Struthio camelus: one gene and its partner. The protein of the gene in region 1 interacts with the protein of each later gene in a pairwise test. Links are inferred from orthologs where the notes say so. Each region holds a gene or a part of one and is shown in the gene's direction. Other genes may lie near its edges.

Region 1 (6,991 bases):
ACTGCAGGAAGAGCCGGGCTGGCACGCTGATCCTGACACTGCCTGGTGCCCAGCTCTCTAAATGCTGCAAGAAGACATAGAGGAGCTGAATCCAAGGTGACCTGTCTTCTGCCTTAAGTCCTAGCCTGCTCTCCAGCCATTAACCACTTCTTTAGTCCTGCAGTCCAAGAGGCCTTAGCCCTGCTGAACTGGCTAATGAACTTCACTAAACCCCTGCTGGAACCCAGAAGCTTTCAGCGGTGCTCACTTTCTGTGAGGTTCTGAGCTCAAAGAGCTACCTCCAGCCTCGGAGAGCACGGGAAAAAATTCCTTTTATCACTGCCTTCAATCTCACACTGCTCCTTTGGTACTCGTGACACAGAAGGCGAGACACTCCCCTCCCCTGCCCTATTCCTATATCCCAGATCTAGCATACATCCTTCCCAAAGGAATTTGACTCGATCTACCGCTAGGAGGAGCTTCCTCTAGACATCTCCTGCCTCAGGCGGCCTCTAGTTCTGTCCCATCCTACCCTGCAGCAGTGCTAATCACTGCACCGCAGACCTGTACAGGTGATGCTCTCACAGCGGTTCACCTGACTGCTCACAAGCAGAGCCTCAGATACTTGCTTTCCATCCCCTTAGCAATGTTGCATCTCATTAGGTTTTAGATTATGGCTGTGCACTAGTGCACCTCCAGCTCTTCCCTGTTAATTAAAAACCTGTAACTTCTTTAGGGAGCTGAACTATACGGCAGCTACCTCTTGGCCAGCCTTTCTCACTTCCTCCCTGATCTCTCTGGTGTGGCTAGTGTTGGCACTGTCTCTTCTGCAAACTATGCTCCATCCCTGCCTACTCCCATCTGCAGCGGACAAACGAGCACTGTCAGGGCATAGCAACCCAGACGTCCTGACGCAGGGGAGGCAGATGAAGCTGCAAGAGGCTTGCTGAAAAGCTGGGAGGGAACGGGGCTCAGGGCGTGCGTGCTGCAGCTCCGGTGGGAGGACAAGCACCCGGCACCTCACCTGAGCAGAATGCAGTTCTCCAGCATGCCCCTCTTCCTGCTCTCATACAGCAGTCGGGCTCGCTTGGTCTCCAGCGGCTCATCGGGGCGCTCCTGCCAGGGTGGTAAGGGGATCTCTAGGATGTCCTTCCCCGAGTCCGTGGGGGAGTCTCCGCGATAGCCGCACTGCACAGACACGTGCCCCAAAACAGGCCGGCAGAGCACCCGTCCGGACAGCGAGCAGAGCTGCTGGAGGGGACACAGACAGCGCAAGCGTCATACCCTGACGTGCAGCAGACTTCAGGCCTGTCTGCCCTCATGCAGTGGAGTCAGGGAGACTCCCCAGCCCAGACAAGGCCCCCCCAGGACCTGCTGCCCCCTCAGCCCAGGCACGGCACCCCCAGGCCCCCCAGGCCAGACACGGCCCCCCCAAGCCCTGCTGCCCCCCCAACCCAGACACAGCTCCCCAGGCCCTGCTGCCCCCCCCAGCCCAGACACGGCTCCCCAGGCCCTGCTGTCCCCCCCCCCAGCGCTGACAAAGCCCCCCCAGACCCTCCAGCCCAGACACAGCTCCTCAGACCCTGCTGTCCCCCCCCAACCCAGGCACAGCCCCCCGGGCCCTGCTGCCCCCCCAGCCCAGACACGGCCCCCCGGGCCCTGCTGTCCCCCCCCAGCCCAGACACGGCCCCCCGGGCCCTGCTGTCCCCCCCCAGCCCAGACACGGCCCCCCGGGCCCTGCTGTCCCCCCCCAACCCAGACACGGCCCCCCGGGCCCTGCTGCCCCCCCCCAGCCCAGACACAGCTCCTCAGACCCTGCTGCCCCCCCCAGCCCAGACAAGGCCCCCCCCCAGGCCCCCCAGCCCAGACACAGCTCCTCAGACCCTGCTGCCCCCCGCAGCCCAGACACGGCCCCCCCAGGCCCCCCAGCCCAGACATGGCTCCTCAGACCCTGCTGCCCCCCGCAGCCCAGACACGGCCCCCCGGGCCCCCCAGCCCAGACACAGCTCCTCAGACCCTGCTGCCCCCCCAGCCCAGACACAGCCCCCCCAGGCCCCCCAGCCCAGACACGGCTCCTCAGACCCTGCTGCCCCCCCAGCCCAGACACAGCCCCCCAGGCCCCCCAGCCCAGACATGGCTCCTCAGACCCTGCTGCCCCCCCAGCCCAGACACGGCCCCCCCAGGCCCCCCAGCCCAGACACGGCTCCTCAGACCCTGCTGCCCCCCCCAGCCCAGACACAGCCCCCCCAGGCCCCCCCAGCCCAGACACGGCTCCTCAGACCCTGCTGCCCCCTCAGCCCAGACACAGCCCCCCAGGCCCTGCTGTCCCCCCCCCAGCCCAGACACGGCCCCCCGGGCCCTGCTGTCGCCCCCCAGCCCAGACACGGCCCCCCGGGCCCTGCTGCCCCCCCCAGCCCAGACAAGGCCCCCCCCCAGGCCCCCCAGCCCAGACACAGCTCCTCAGACCCTGCTGCCCCCCGCAGCCCAGACACGGCCCCCCCAGGCCCCCCAGCCCAGACATGGCTCCTCAGACCCTGCTGCCCCCCTCAGCCCAGACACGGCCCCCCCAGGCCCCCCAGCCCAGACACAGCTCCTCAGACCTTGCTGCCCCCCCAGCCCAGACACAGCCCCCCCAGGCCCCCCAGCCCAGACACAGCTCCTCAGACCCTGCTGCCCCCCCAGCCCAGACACAGCCCCCCAGGCCCCCCAGCCCAGACATGGCTCCTCAGACCCTGCTGCCCCCCCAGCCCAGACACGGCCCCCCGGGCCCTGCTGTCCCCCCCCCAACCCAGACACGGCCCCCCGGGCCCTGCTGTCCCCCCCCAACCCAGACACGGCCCCCCGGGCCCTGCTGCCCCCCCCAGCCCAGACACAGCTCCTCAGACCCTGCTGCCCCCCCCAGCCCAGACAAGGCCCCCCCCCAGGCCCCCCAGCCCAGACACAGCTCCTCAGACCCTGCTGCCCCCCGCAGCCCAGACACGGCCCCTCAGACCTTGCTGCCCCCCCAGCCCAGACACAGCCCCCCCAGGCCCCCCAGCCCAGACACGGCTCCTCAGACCCTGTTGCCCCCCCAGCCCAGACACGGCCCCCCAGGCCCCCCAGCCCAGACATGGCTCCTCAGACCCTGCTGCCCCCCCAGCCCAGACACGGCCCCCCCAGGCCCCCCAGCCCAGACACGGCTCCTCAGACCCTGCTGCCCCCCCCAGCCCAGACACAGCCCCCCCAGGCCCCCCAGCCCAGACACGGCTCCTCAGACCCTGCTGCCCCCTCAGCCCAGACACAGCCCCCCAGGCCCTGCTGTCCCCCCCCCAGCCCAGACATGGCCCCCCGGGCCCTGCTGTCCCCCCCCAGCCCAGACACGGCCCCCCGGGCCCTGCTGTCCCCCCCCAACCCAGACACGGCCCCCCGGGCCCTGCTGCCCCCCCCAGCCCAGACACAGCTCCTCAGACCCTGCTGCCCCCCTCAGCCCAGACACGGCCCCCCCAGGCCCCCCAGCCCAGACACGGCTCCTCAGACCCTGCTGCCCCCTCAGCCCAGACACAGCCCCCCAGGCCCTGCTGTCCCCCCCCCAGCCCAGACACGGCCCCCCCAGGCCCCCCAGCCCAGACACGGCTCCTCAGACCCTGCTGCCCCCCCAGCCCAGACACGGCCCCCCCAGGTTCCCCAGGCCCTGCTGGCCCCGGACCCTCCTCGATCCCTCTGGCTCCATCCCTCTCAGCTGCCCCCCAGCTGCTCCCACAAGGTCACCGCCCCTCACCTCCCAAGCCCAGCCCAGCCCTGCCCCAGGCCACCCCCAGGTCACCGTCACCCTGGCCACGGCCATGGCTCTCAGCATCCCGCCTGGCCGCCGCCGCCCCGCGGAGCCGCTCTGCGAAGCGGGGCAGCCCAGCTCTATGGCCCGGCGGCGCGCGTCGACGCGAGCTACGGGGGGGGGCGGCCGGGCGGGAGGGCCGGAAGGGGCGGGGCCGCCGCCGGAAGGGGCGGGGCGGCGGCGGTGGCGCGGCGGCGGCGGCGGCGGCGGCGGCGGCGGCGGAGGCAGTGGCAGTGGCAGTGGTGAGCGCGGGCGGCGCGCGCGCGCGCTGGGGCCTGCTCGCCAGGCGGGGCCGCGCGCGGTAACGGGCGGGGCGGGGCGGGGCCGCGTCAGGGCCGAGGCGGGGGGGGGCCCGGCCGCCGCCGCCGCCGCCGCCGCCGCCGCCGCCGGGGACGGGAGGGGAGGTAGGGCGCGACCGGCCGCTTCCTTCCCCTCCCCCCGCCGTTGGGGCAGGGGCGGGGCGGGGGGCCGGGGGGCGGTAGCGCTGTCCCGGGGCGGTTTGAGGACTGCTCCCCGGGGGGTGTTTCGGGGGAGCGGGTCACTGTCCGCCGGGACGGGGTTAGTCCGGGGCCGGGAGGAGGTGGTGGCCCCCTCCCTCCCCCGGGGGGGGGGGGTGCTGTCCGCGGAGAGGGGTCCGGGCTGGGGGGCGGGCGTTGGGTGCCCCCACCGGGGGGGGTACGATCCGCTTCCCGGGGATGGGTCCAGAGCGGGGGTTTTGGGGGGGGATTATTGGGGATGTAGGGTGGGGGGGCTGGTGTGCTTATCACTCTCGGTGTTGAAACAAGGGGGGGGTGAGATGGCCCCAGGGGACGAATCTGGGCTTGGGGGAGGGGGTCACGCTGCCCTCAGGATGAAGGAAATAGGGTGATGTTGCCCCCGGGGCTTGGTCTTGATTTGGGGGATTGGGGTGACGTTGGCCCCAGGGACTGGATCTTGGCTAGGGGGTTGGGATGAGCTGGCCCCCCAGGGGCGACCCGTGGCTAGGGGGTGTGCTGTCCCCGGGCACGGGCTTCTCTAGGAGAGGAGGAGTTGGTGTTGGCCCTGGGCACGGCGCGGCTGGTGCCTGCCGGGAGAAAAAGCCTAAAACCCTATTGGTAGTGGCGGTGGGGCAAGGGGATGCGGGGGGGGGGGGGCGCGCAGGAGGTTTCCAGCGCTAAGGTGATCCCCCTCCCCTCCGTCGCCCGCTGCAGTGCACCTTTGGTCTTCCTGCCTCGCCCCGGTCCCCTCCTGGGTTCTCGGTCCTGTCTCTGGAAATATGTCCGAGGGAGTGGATCTGATTGATATCTACGCCGACGAAGAGTTCAATCAGGTGAGCGGGGCACCAGGCCATGGCGCCGCCCCGTGCTGGGACCACTGTGGTGGGGGGGGGGAGAGGGAGGGCGGGCAGCTGCTTGAGCAGCTCACCCTTTTTTGGGGGGAAGAGCACGTTAACCAGAGTTGGCCAGCTCACTGGCAAGACGCTTAAAGCGGTTGGTGTTAGTGTGTGTGTACTTATTGAGCACAGGCAGAAGAAGTGGCTTGTGTGGGAGGAATACAGTGGGACAGCATTGAAGAGTCCCTCTGGGAAACTAAGGACTGGGACTGTCATCAAATCACGGCAGCTGTGATTTTGAGCCATGAATAAAATGTGGTTTCTATAGGTTTTGCAGGGGATTCAATACATGGATGGTTACAAAATATTCAGGCAGTTGGGAGGGTTGAGAAGGAGGCAGGGTTTCCACCAAAACATTTACCGAGCTGTTGGTGACTGGGGATCAAAGTGGATAGTCGTGACCTGCTGTGGCTGGAGAAATAAGACGTCTAGACTAGAAGAGAGCTGCACCGAATATCTGTGAGAGGACTGCGTAGCAAGGGAGTTTGAAAGCACTGAACCTTGCGGGCCTGCAGATGTGCATGCTGGGTGGTGAGCTCTCTGGGGAAGCGCTGCGTGGAGACCTGCACGGTAACTCAAGATGGTCGGAGAGCTGCTGGTTGCAGGTCATCTGCCTCAGGTGCCGGGGGCCGAGACTGCCAGAGACCTGCCGAAAGAAATGGTGGAGAATGTGTGTGCGCAGCCTCTAGAGAAGCAGATTTTAGAGAGTTCAGAGATCTGGACAACTGAGGAGAGTGGGTGTGCCTGCACATCTTGGAAGATTGAAAACTGCCATGGAAAGACCATGGAGGAAAGTTGGTCCTTACTGGATGGCAAGCTGCAAGAACTAGAAGCAAAGCACAAGAAGGAATTGCCAGTTGGCTAGAGCTCCCAGAGGGCTGAAGAGGAGTCGAGGGCAATAAATCCTTTGTTCTGAAAGGCGGGAGGTTATCAAGAGAGAATATGCCTTAAGTTAAACATTCAGGGAAAAGTGAAACATCAGAAAAGCGTGTTAATTGCCTCAGAGATGAGAGAGAACTGAGAGATGCTTTCAGCTGTCTGGGAAGAAGCAGGAGTTCCCCACTGAAAGCAATTACATTAGAGAAGGGCAAAGTCAAATCTGGTCCTAACGTTGCCAGAATAATGGAAATCTCACTGCAAAAGTGAGTTGCAAAATAAATACGCAGTGTTTGCGCTGCCTATAGCTGCAGGCTGCCCTGCACAAGTATCCTCAAGCTCTGAAATACTTCTCCCTTCAGACCTGGGTGGTTCTGCAAAACTCTTCGAAGTCAGATCCCCCATGTGTTACACAATCTAAGACTACAATGCGACCGGATTGAACTATTTTGGGTTAGAAATAGTCTTAATTTGCATGTTGCCTTGCAAAAAGCTTTTAACAGTCAGAATCAGGAAAGTATACCTGGACTTGGGAGGCAGAAGGTAGAGTTAAACAGTTGAAGGAATAAAGATGGAAGGTCTGGAAAAAGGAAACATGTGGAGGTTGCTGGGCTGGAATTTAGAAATACATTAAACGCAAAATAACCAGCAACCATCATTTATGACAATTACCTTAAATGCCAAAGGAAAACAGTGAAAGAGCTGGAGGAAAATAAATAATATATCTTCATCTGCAGAAGGAGAAATGTGGCGTCGGCAGGTGTGATCTGGAAAGTCTCTGAACGTCTTGGAGGGTAACTGATGAAGAGCAAACAGGTGGGAGGGCTTAAAAGGAAAATTACTGTCACACTGCTGGTTTTCCACTTAGATGGTCAAATGCTGCCTGTCCTGCCTGTGCATTCAGGCTGGCTTGGCAGAGAAGGCTCATGTGCTGGAAGGCGTGAAGAAGGAAG
Region 2 (7,113 bases), on another chromosome or scaffold:
TTGCTGCTGCCAAAAGGGGGAAAGCTACCTCCCTGCTCTCCTGGGCTACAGCTCTCCTCTCCTACCTCTGTCTTTAGCCTGAATTGCAAGCCGCCTCGAGCAGCAGCTTTGAAGGGGCCGTGCATACTGAGCGTGCTACGGTATAATAAGCATTCCCTCTCAGAGCTATAGCACAGAAATATTAACACCCCATGCTTAAGAATCATGAGGCCCACAGGAAACAAAAAGGAATAAAAGTTCCTTGCCATAGTTTAAGGTACTCCCATTATGCAAGGCAACCACACCTTAATTACTGCCACCCCCCTAAAGCAGTTTTCCCCAACACTTACAGACAGTAAAATAATATGGGCTTTTGCTAGGGACAAACACCAAAACCTCAGCCAGGTTAGAAACCTCTGAGAACGGGCAGAGCAAGAAGAATAGCCCAGAAATAAACATCCCTCTCCCAGTCCCCACCGACCCCTCCCTGCTGCCTTTGCTCATAAAAGCAGTCTCCTTCACTTTACAAGCTAAGCATTTTTGCAACAGGCACCTTTCCTTATCGCAAGGAAACGTTCACCAGCAAGTTCACGCTGAAATAGTTCAAGACTGGGATCTTTATACATCTCAGATACTTAGCCAGCATCAGTCTTAGGGAAGCGTGATGAAAACAAGGAAGAGTCCTGGTCAGCTTACGCACTGCAATGCGCCTCAGAGCACAAAACTGCTTAGCTGAAGAGCTTGTCACACTGCTGGAAGACTTTGCTAGTAATGGCTAAATAACTGCTAGAAATGAAAACTTACTGTGTTCTAGCTTTGTCATGCCATCAGGTGGGAGCTGCCGTCCCTGGAAAGAAGGGCCCGGGAGGCTGCGAACACCTCACTTTCATTAGTTCATTCACTGCTAAGTCTCCCGGCAAACAGCAGGGGCTGGAAGCATTCAGACCATTTAGCGTTATAGCCGATAGTGCCTGAGCAAACAGCCAGAGGAAGAGCATTACACACTCACCTCAGCCCCTTCTGCCAGCTGCCAAGTGATCTTTTCGGAGCATCCGGACAAACTCTCGGCAGCGAAGCAGCACCAAGACAACAAGCACGCAGCCCATAACGAAGCACGCCACCTTAACAGTACTAGCGTGCTCTGCAACCCGGCAGTAACGCCTACAGAAAAGCTCTGAGGACTGCAAAGCCAGGCAACTTGATCCAACTCTCCTCCAGGAGGCAGCTCCACCACATCAACTTAAATGCAGCCTGTTCCGCCCAGCTCTTAATCAGCTGTGATTAAACTCAAAGAGAGACAAAGGCTCCAGGGAGCAGAGCTAGTCATTCTCAGAAAGACAGCCAGAGGTGCGCCTCTGCTCCCGATGACGTCTTGCCACACACCAAAGAGCGTGCCCTGGAGAGTACCTTTTTCAGGGATGCCTCACCTGAAAACTCAGCCAGCATAGACAAAAGCCTGCTCTAAACACTACTCTCTCTCTGAAACCACGCTGGGCGACCGAGGTCCTCCTGCTTCTAGGCGTGCAAAATCGAACTGACTGACCACATCCACAGGGCTGGTGAATATAAGGCATTTCATCCTTCCTCTGGAAAAACTCCATTTTGCACTCCCCCCCCCCCAGTCAATCCCAGAGTCCTCAAGCCCTTGTCTTTACGCTAGCTAGTTCCCCTCTACTTGCTTTCTCTTCTCCTCCTGCTTGCCCACAGCAGTCATTCGCCTCGTATGTAATGACACGTGTGGCTTTAAAGGATGGCAACACTGAGGCACTTGCAAAAGCCTCCGCTAGAAAAGATTGGCTATGACATGAGCAAACCACGCTAGCCTAGCAATAGGTTGTAGTACTGAACGCTTGCCTGAGCATTTGCAGACATGCATAGACATACACACACGCTCCAACTGACACCGCGTAGAACAGCTGAAGTTGCCAGCACAGGACAGGCCTAAACATTCACATCAGGTAGAAATACCGTCGCTGGGCCGGGGGGGGGGGGGCAGCCGCACCTCGCCGAGGGCAGCAGACAGGGCCGGGGCACCGAGCAGAATGGGAGTGATGAGGGGCAGCGAGAGGAGAAGGTGCTGGGGGGGGGCAGGTGCGTGTGGCACAGCATGCTGCAGGTTTTATCACACAGTGGCCCAAAAACATTTGGCTGCAAAATAATTCTTAACTCAGGAAGCCATAGACAGTCTTTTCCCACATCACGCTTTTTCTGAATACCAATAAGCATACAGAAAAGGAGTGAGGTCCCTGCTGTTGTAAAACTTCATGGTTCTCCAGCCCTTCTACACTTTGCAACAGCTGCTCGCTGTTGCGCCTTTCAGTAGCACGTGTTAGAGCTCCTAAAAGCTTGTCCAGCCCACAGAGAAGCGGTCAAAAAGCTTACCCTAGGCCATGGTCCCCTCTGGAGGACACTTAGCCCCTTGTTTACAGAGCTCCGGTGTTTCGTGCGCTGATAGATCATCTCAATGCATTCATCTATGCTTATTAGGTTAAGCTGAAAACCAATCAAGGAACAAATGTTAAAAGATCTATGCATTTAACCGAGGGGAGGAAGTCTCTCTTGGGACACTCAGTCAAGAAACAGGGAACTAGGTGCAGAGGAAAAGAATTACCGCCTCCGCCAACCCTGCACGCTTGGCACGAGCAGTGACGTTGGAGAGCTGGGAACTCAGCTGTCTGTTCAGAAACCAACATGCTTTATTCATTGTCTACAAGATGGGGAGTTTGTCCCTTTGAACCTTCAGTCACCTGACGCTCTCCACAATTCAAAGTGCGCTTATACCAACTGATGGTATCTGTTTGAGGTCAAGGAAATATCTGGAGAGGAAAAGTCCCCGTTTGTGACTTCTGTTCCAAACCAACACGTGCTTCCGTTCGGAAAGCACAGCTCCGCGTTTCCCCAGACTGGGAGCGGCGACACAGACGCGCAGGGAGCTTGTGAAGAACGTTGTCTCAACACATTGCATTGCAAGAGGGATCAGCATGTGCTCCGCACCTGCCTGGCACGCGGGCCGCCCGGGATCGGCCCAGGAGCCACCCGCAGCAGCACCCATCGTGCCCCTCTGCCCCGGATCCTGCCTCGCGCCACTTCTCACGCCCCACTTCTGCCATCGCACCCCCAGCCCCATGGCACCCTGCAGCCACGTCTCAACTCCCGCTGCTTATTACCATAAGGCAATGAACCGAGACCTTTATCTCCTCCTGCTCTTCTCCCTGCTGCAGCAGTCGGCCCCGTGTTCTTGCCCGCCTGTATTCCCCGTATGGCCCGTGGTGGACACACGTCCCCGGGGGATGCTGAGATGGAGTCGGAAGCGGATCGCTCTAACTGGTTCATCATTTGCTGCGCTCGCTTGCCAAGAAGCCGGTCGGCATCGTCACGGCCTGGGGGAACGGTCCAGCGTTTAACACTCAACAGCACTTATTACAGCTAACTGTGGAGAACCTGGAAGGACACGGAAACGAGCAGGGCGGAAAACCGTAAGTCTGGGAGCAGACAGCGAGCAGCTGAGGGAAGCGCGGGTCCCTTCCAGGACGCAGAAAGGAGCTTCCAAGACTGAGCGTCGCGGGCGGGAGGGCCGGGGCCGGGGCCGAGCGGCGGCTCGTCGCCGGTCTGGCTGCCATGGAGGACGGTCCCCTCGGGCTGCCGCCCGGAGCCCAGGGCAGGAGCCGCTCCCGCCACCCCGCCGTCGGGCCGGGCCGGGCCGGGCCGAGCCGAGCCGAGCGGCAGCCGCCGCCGCCGCCGAGGGCGCGATCCCCGCCAGAGCGGCTGCCCCCCGCCGCCGCCGCAGCCGCCGCTCGGCCCCGGGCACCGCTCCCGCCGCCGCCGCCGCCGCCGGAGGGCGCCAACGGCCGCCGGGGGGGCGCCAACGGCCGCCGCGCCTCGCGCCCGAGCTCGCCGCCGCCGCCGCCGCCGGGGCGCGCGCAGGGGCGGGGGGGAGGCGGGGCGCGTCGCTTCCTGTCGCCGCCGCCGCCCGCTCCCTCCCGTCGCCCCTCCCGGTCAGGCGGCGAAGCAGCGCGGCTCGGCGCAACCCGGCCCAGCCCGCGGCCCCCTCCGGCCCCTCTGTCCCTGCAGTGGCGCCAGGCAGAGGCGACCCCTTCGCCCCGCCCGGGGAGCGGCGCGGCGCGGCGCGGCGGCCATGTTGCGGCGGGCCGGGGCTGCGGGCGGCCGGTTGCGCTGAGGCGCGGGCGCCGCCGCCGCCGCTCTCCCCGCGCTGAGGGCTCCCGGCGGCGGCGGCCGCCCGGGCGGCATGGAGCTGGGCCGGCTGGAGTACCTGCAGGCCCTGGTCACCGAGTTCCAGGCCACCGACAGCCCAGGTGACGCCCCGGCGGCAGCGGGCGGCGGACAGCTCGCTCGGGACCGCCGAGCGCCGCCGCTCCGCCTTCACCTGCCGCTTCTCCCCCCTTGCAGACGCCAAGGAGCAGGTGCTGGCCAACCTGGCCAACTTCGCCTACGACCCCCACAACTACGAGCACCTCCGGCAGCTGCAGGTGCTGGATCTGTTCCTTGACGCGCTGGCCGAGGACAGCGAGAGCCTGGTGGAGTTCGCGATCGGTAAGGACGGCGGCGGGGCCAGGGCTGCCGGCTCGGCCCGGCCCGGCCCGGCCCCTCGGAAGCTCAAGCAACATGTGGCTGCTTGTGCTGCTTGGGGTGCTGCAAGGGACCGGGCTGCAGCCCTAAAGCCTTGTTTAGAGGGGAGCGAACGGCAGCTTCCCCCCCCCCCCACCACCCCACCCCGAAGTTCAGTATAGTTGCAGCACTTAAAAAAAAGATTGTTTTCTGTAAAGCAGGTTTTTTTATGCTAGAAGAAAACACTGGCTGAATGACTTCTTACCCAAATCTCTCCTATACGGAGACGGTCACTGAGAGGGAATTTGTGCCCTGCGTAAGGCACAGATGCAGTGTTTCCACCCTAGTGCTGACAGCCAGTCTGCCAGAACGCTTGTCGGGAGTAATCCGGCGAGCCCTCCGAGGAGTCCCTGACACCGAGTCATCGTGCCCTGCATACAGGGAACGGGGCCGGATCCTCACTGGGAGTGACTCCGTGAGACGTTAAATACGCTCTGTTTTTAAGGTTTGTTGACTGAGCTACACCAGGATATGCCTGCACCTTAAAGTCTCAAGTACTAATATTGTAGGCCTCTCGACTAATATTAGTCTCTCTGTTCTCTGGTTTTGTAAAACATCTGCCATATACTGCTGGATTGTAGCCACGTCTAGGGTCAAGTGATAAAGGTATTTTTCATTCTGTGGAAGACGTTATGTCCAGAGGCACAGTGCCCTCTAATGACATACTGGAGAAGGAGTGTTCTAGTGGAAAATCTCCAGGAAGAATCAAGAAAACTTAGCGCAGGAGCACTTAGCACTTTTCCATCCAGATCTCACAGCCAATCTGGCTGCTTATTTCCGTACTGGAAAACGGGGATCAGCAAAATTGGCATCACTGCGCAATTGCATTTAGGTAAATAATTTCCATTACGACACTGAGTTAGAAAAAAGAGGTTATTTAAGATGATTAAAATCCCATTTTGTAATTCTCAACATCTTTAAGATTTAGCACGTTTACCTCTTATTGCTCAGGAGAAATATTTTTCTGTGTCAGTTTATAAAAAGAAGGAAAGATGAAGTTGGCACAATTGTTTAAACAAAAATAAGGAGAGGAAACGTGAAATGTGTACCAAGTTATGTGCATTACAGAGATTTAATTGTGGTAGTTTCAACTGTAAGAAAGAGTAAAGGTTCCTAGTTGTAGCAGTGGACTTAAATCTTCGAAAAAGGTGAGGGAGTAGAGAAGAGCGTCTTGCGTGCATCAGAACGTTCTCTTCTGCTGTGTTTCAGGTGGTCTTTGTAACCTCTGTCTGGATAAAACTAACAAAGACTACATCTTGGAGGCGAATGGGGTAGAGCCCATAATAAACTGCCTGTCCAGCTCCAATGAGGAGACAGTGATGTCGGCAGTCACAACGCTGATGTACCTGACAACGCCGCAGTCGCGCCAGCAGACCACAGCTCTCCCAGTGGTGGAGTGCATGCTTCGCTTCTCTCTCTCGGCCAGCAGAAGGCTAAGCAATCTGGCAACTGTCTTCCTTGAGGATTACTGCACACCTCTCCAAGTGGAAGAGGCCAGGAATCTAAGCAAACACACAGCAGTGGGGATTCCTCTCCCTAAGGACTGAAACTGCCCAGAGCAGCTTGGCGCTCTTACGAGGGAGGTTTCCCTCTTAACATCCCAGCCTTCCAATTTCTGCTCAGCAGGTCAAGAGTGTGCCGAGAGCAACTTTAAACAGGGAAGATGGTCAGACCAGCGCTGGATTTTAGTATTAATACAAAGGAAGGCACAGTGCTACAATGTGAATCAGTCTAGACATGAAACTTAAAAAAATAAAATAAAAAAATAAAACAGGTCATGGCTGTTGGAGAGCGGGCTGCCAAGTGCAGGCCAGCACCCAGCTTGCGCAAATAACCCTTCCCAGCAATTAGCCTTTTCTGCGCAGGTTATTGGGCAGCTTACATCCCCTTTGGTTCCTCACTATACAGAACAGATCATAACTGTGCTACATAACAGGAAGTGGAAAGTTCTATTTCTTTCATTGTCACTGGTGAAAAAGGTGAAGATTTAAAAAAAAAAAATAAGGCTCATGGCAGTCTGGCTCACAAGAACAGCTGTCTTGTAAAACCTACTCTTAATAAAACATTAGCTTAAATGCTGTGTAAACAGTTTTGTATAAGAACATAAATGTTTTTCTGCAGCGCTTGCAACCCAGCCTTCACCTACACTCATTAATGCACGTGGGCCAGAAACTGAAGCCAGCTTGGTCTCCTTTCATTATCAGCCAATGACGCAAAAAGCAACCCAAAAGCCAGGGTGACTAAATACATAAAATTTAAAACGTTTGGCTGTTGGACGCCGTGCTCCCTAAGCAGACACGCTGTGTCTGCTCAAGTTTCACAGCCTTAGTACTTTTTTTTCCCTCCTTTCTGCCCTCCCCCATATGCCCATTCAGCTCAAGATGTGGGAGTGAGCTTAAAAAACACCAAAACAATGTCTTTGGCAGTTTCTACTCATCTACACCAATCAAACACCAGTAACAACTCTACAGAGATTAACTAGTTTAATACAGAGCAACTTTCTAGAAA

What was found.
Region 2: the proteins of CPSF7 (region 1) and ARMC7 interact in binary tests that used the Homo sapiens proteins (3 or more experiments, as listed by UniProt). The two-hybrid records come from large-scale screens. The link is inferred for Struthio camelus from reciprocal best matches to the Homo sapiens genes CPSF7 and ARMC7.

The regions. Positions count from the first base shown.
Region 1 is NC_090946.1:4,000,278-4,007,268, reverse strand, and holds the start of CPSF7 (cleavage and polyadenylation specificity factor subunit 7), read left to right. Parts: upstream 1-3,975; 5' UTR 3,976-4,032; intron 4,033-4,160; exon of another isoform or gene 4,161-4,194; intron 4,195-4,980; 5' UTR 4,981-5,045; coding exon 5,046-5,099; intron 5,100-6,991. Other genes in the region: SDHAF2 (succinate dehydrogenase assembly factor 2, mitochondrial), read right to left, coding at 1,004-1,230, 3,782-3,814.
Region 2 is NC_090960.1:8,165,139-8,172,251, forward strand, and holds ARMC7 (armadillo repeat-containing protein 7), read left to right. Parts: upstream 1-4,103; 5' UTR 4,104-4,225; coding exon 4,226-4,292; intron 4,293-4,386; coding exon 4,387-4,530; intron 4,531-5,814; coding exon 5,815-6,152; 3' UTR 6,153-6,680; downstream 6,681-7,113. UniProt on the Homo sapiens protein: As a component of the minor spliceosome, involved in the splicing of U12-type introns in pre-mRNAs.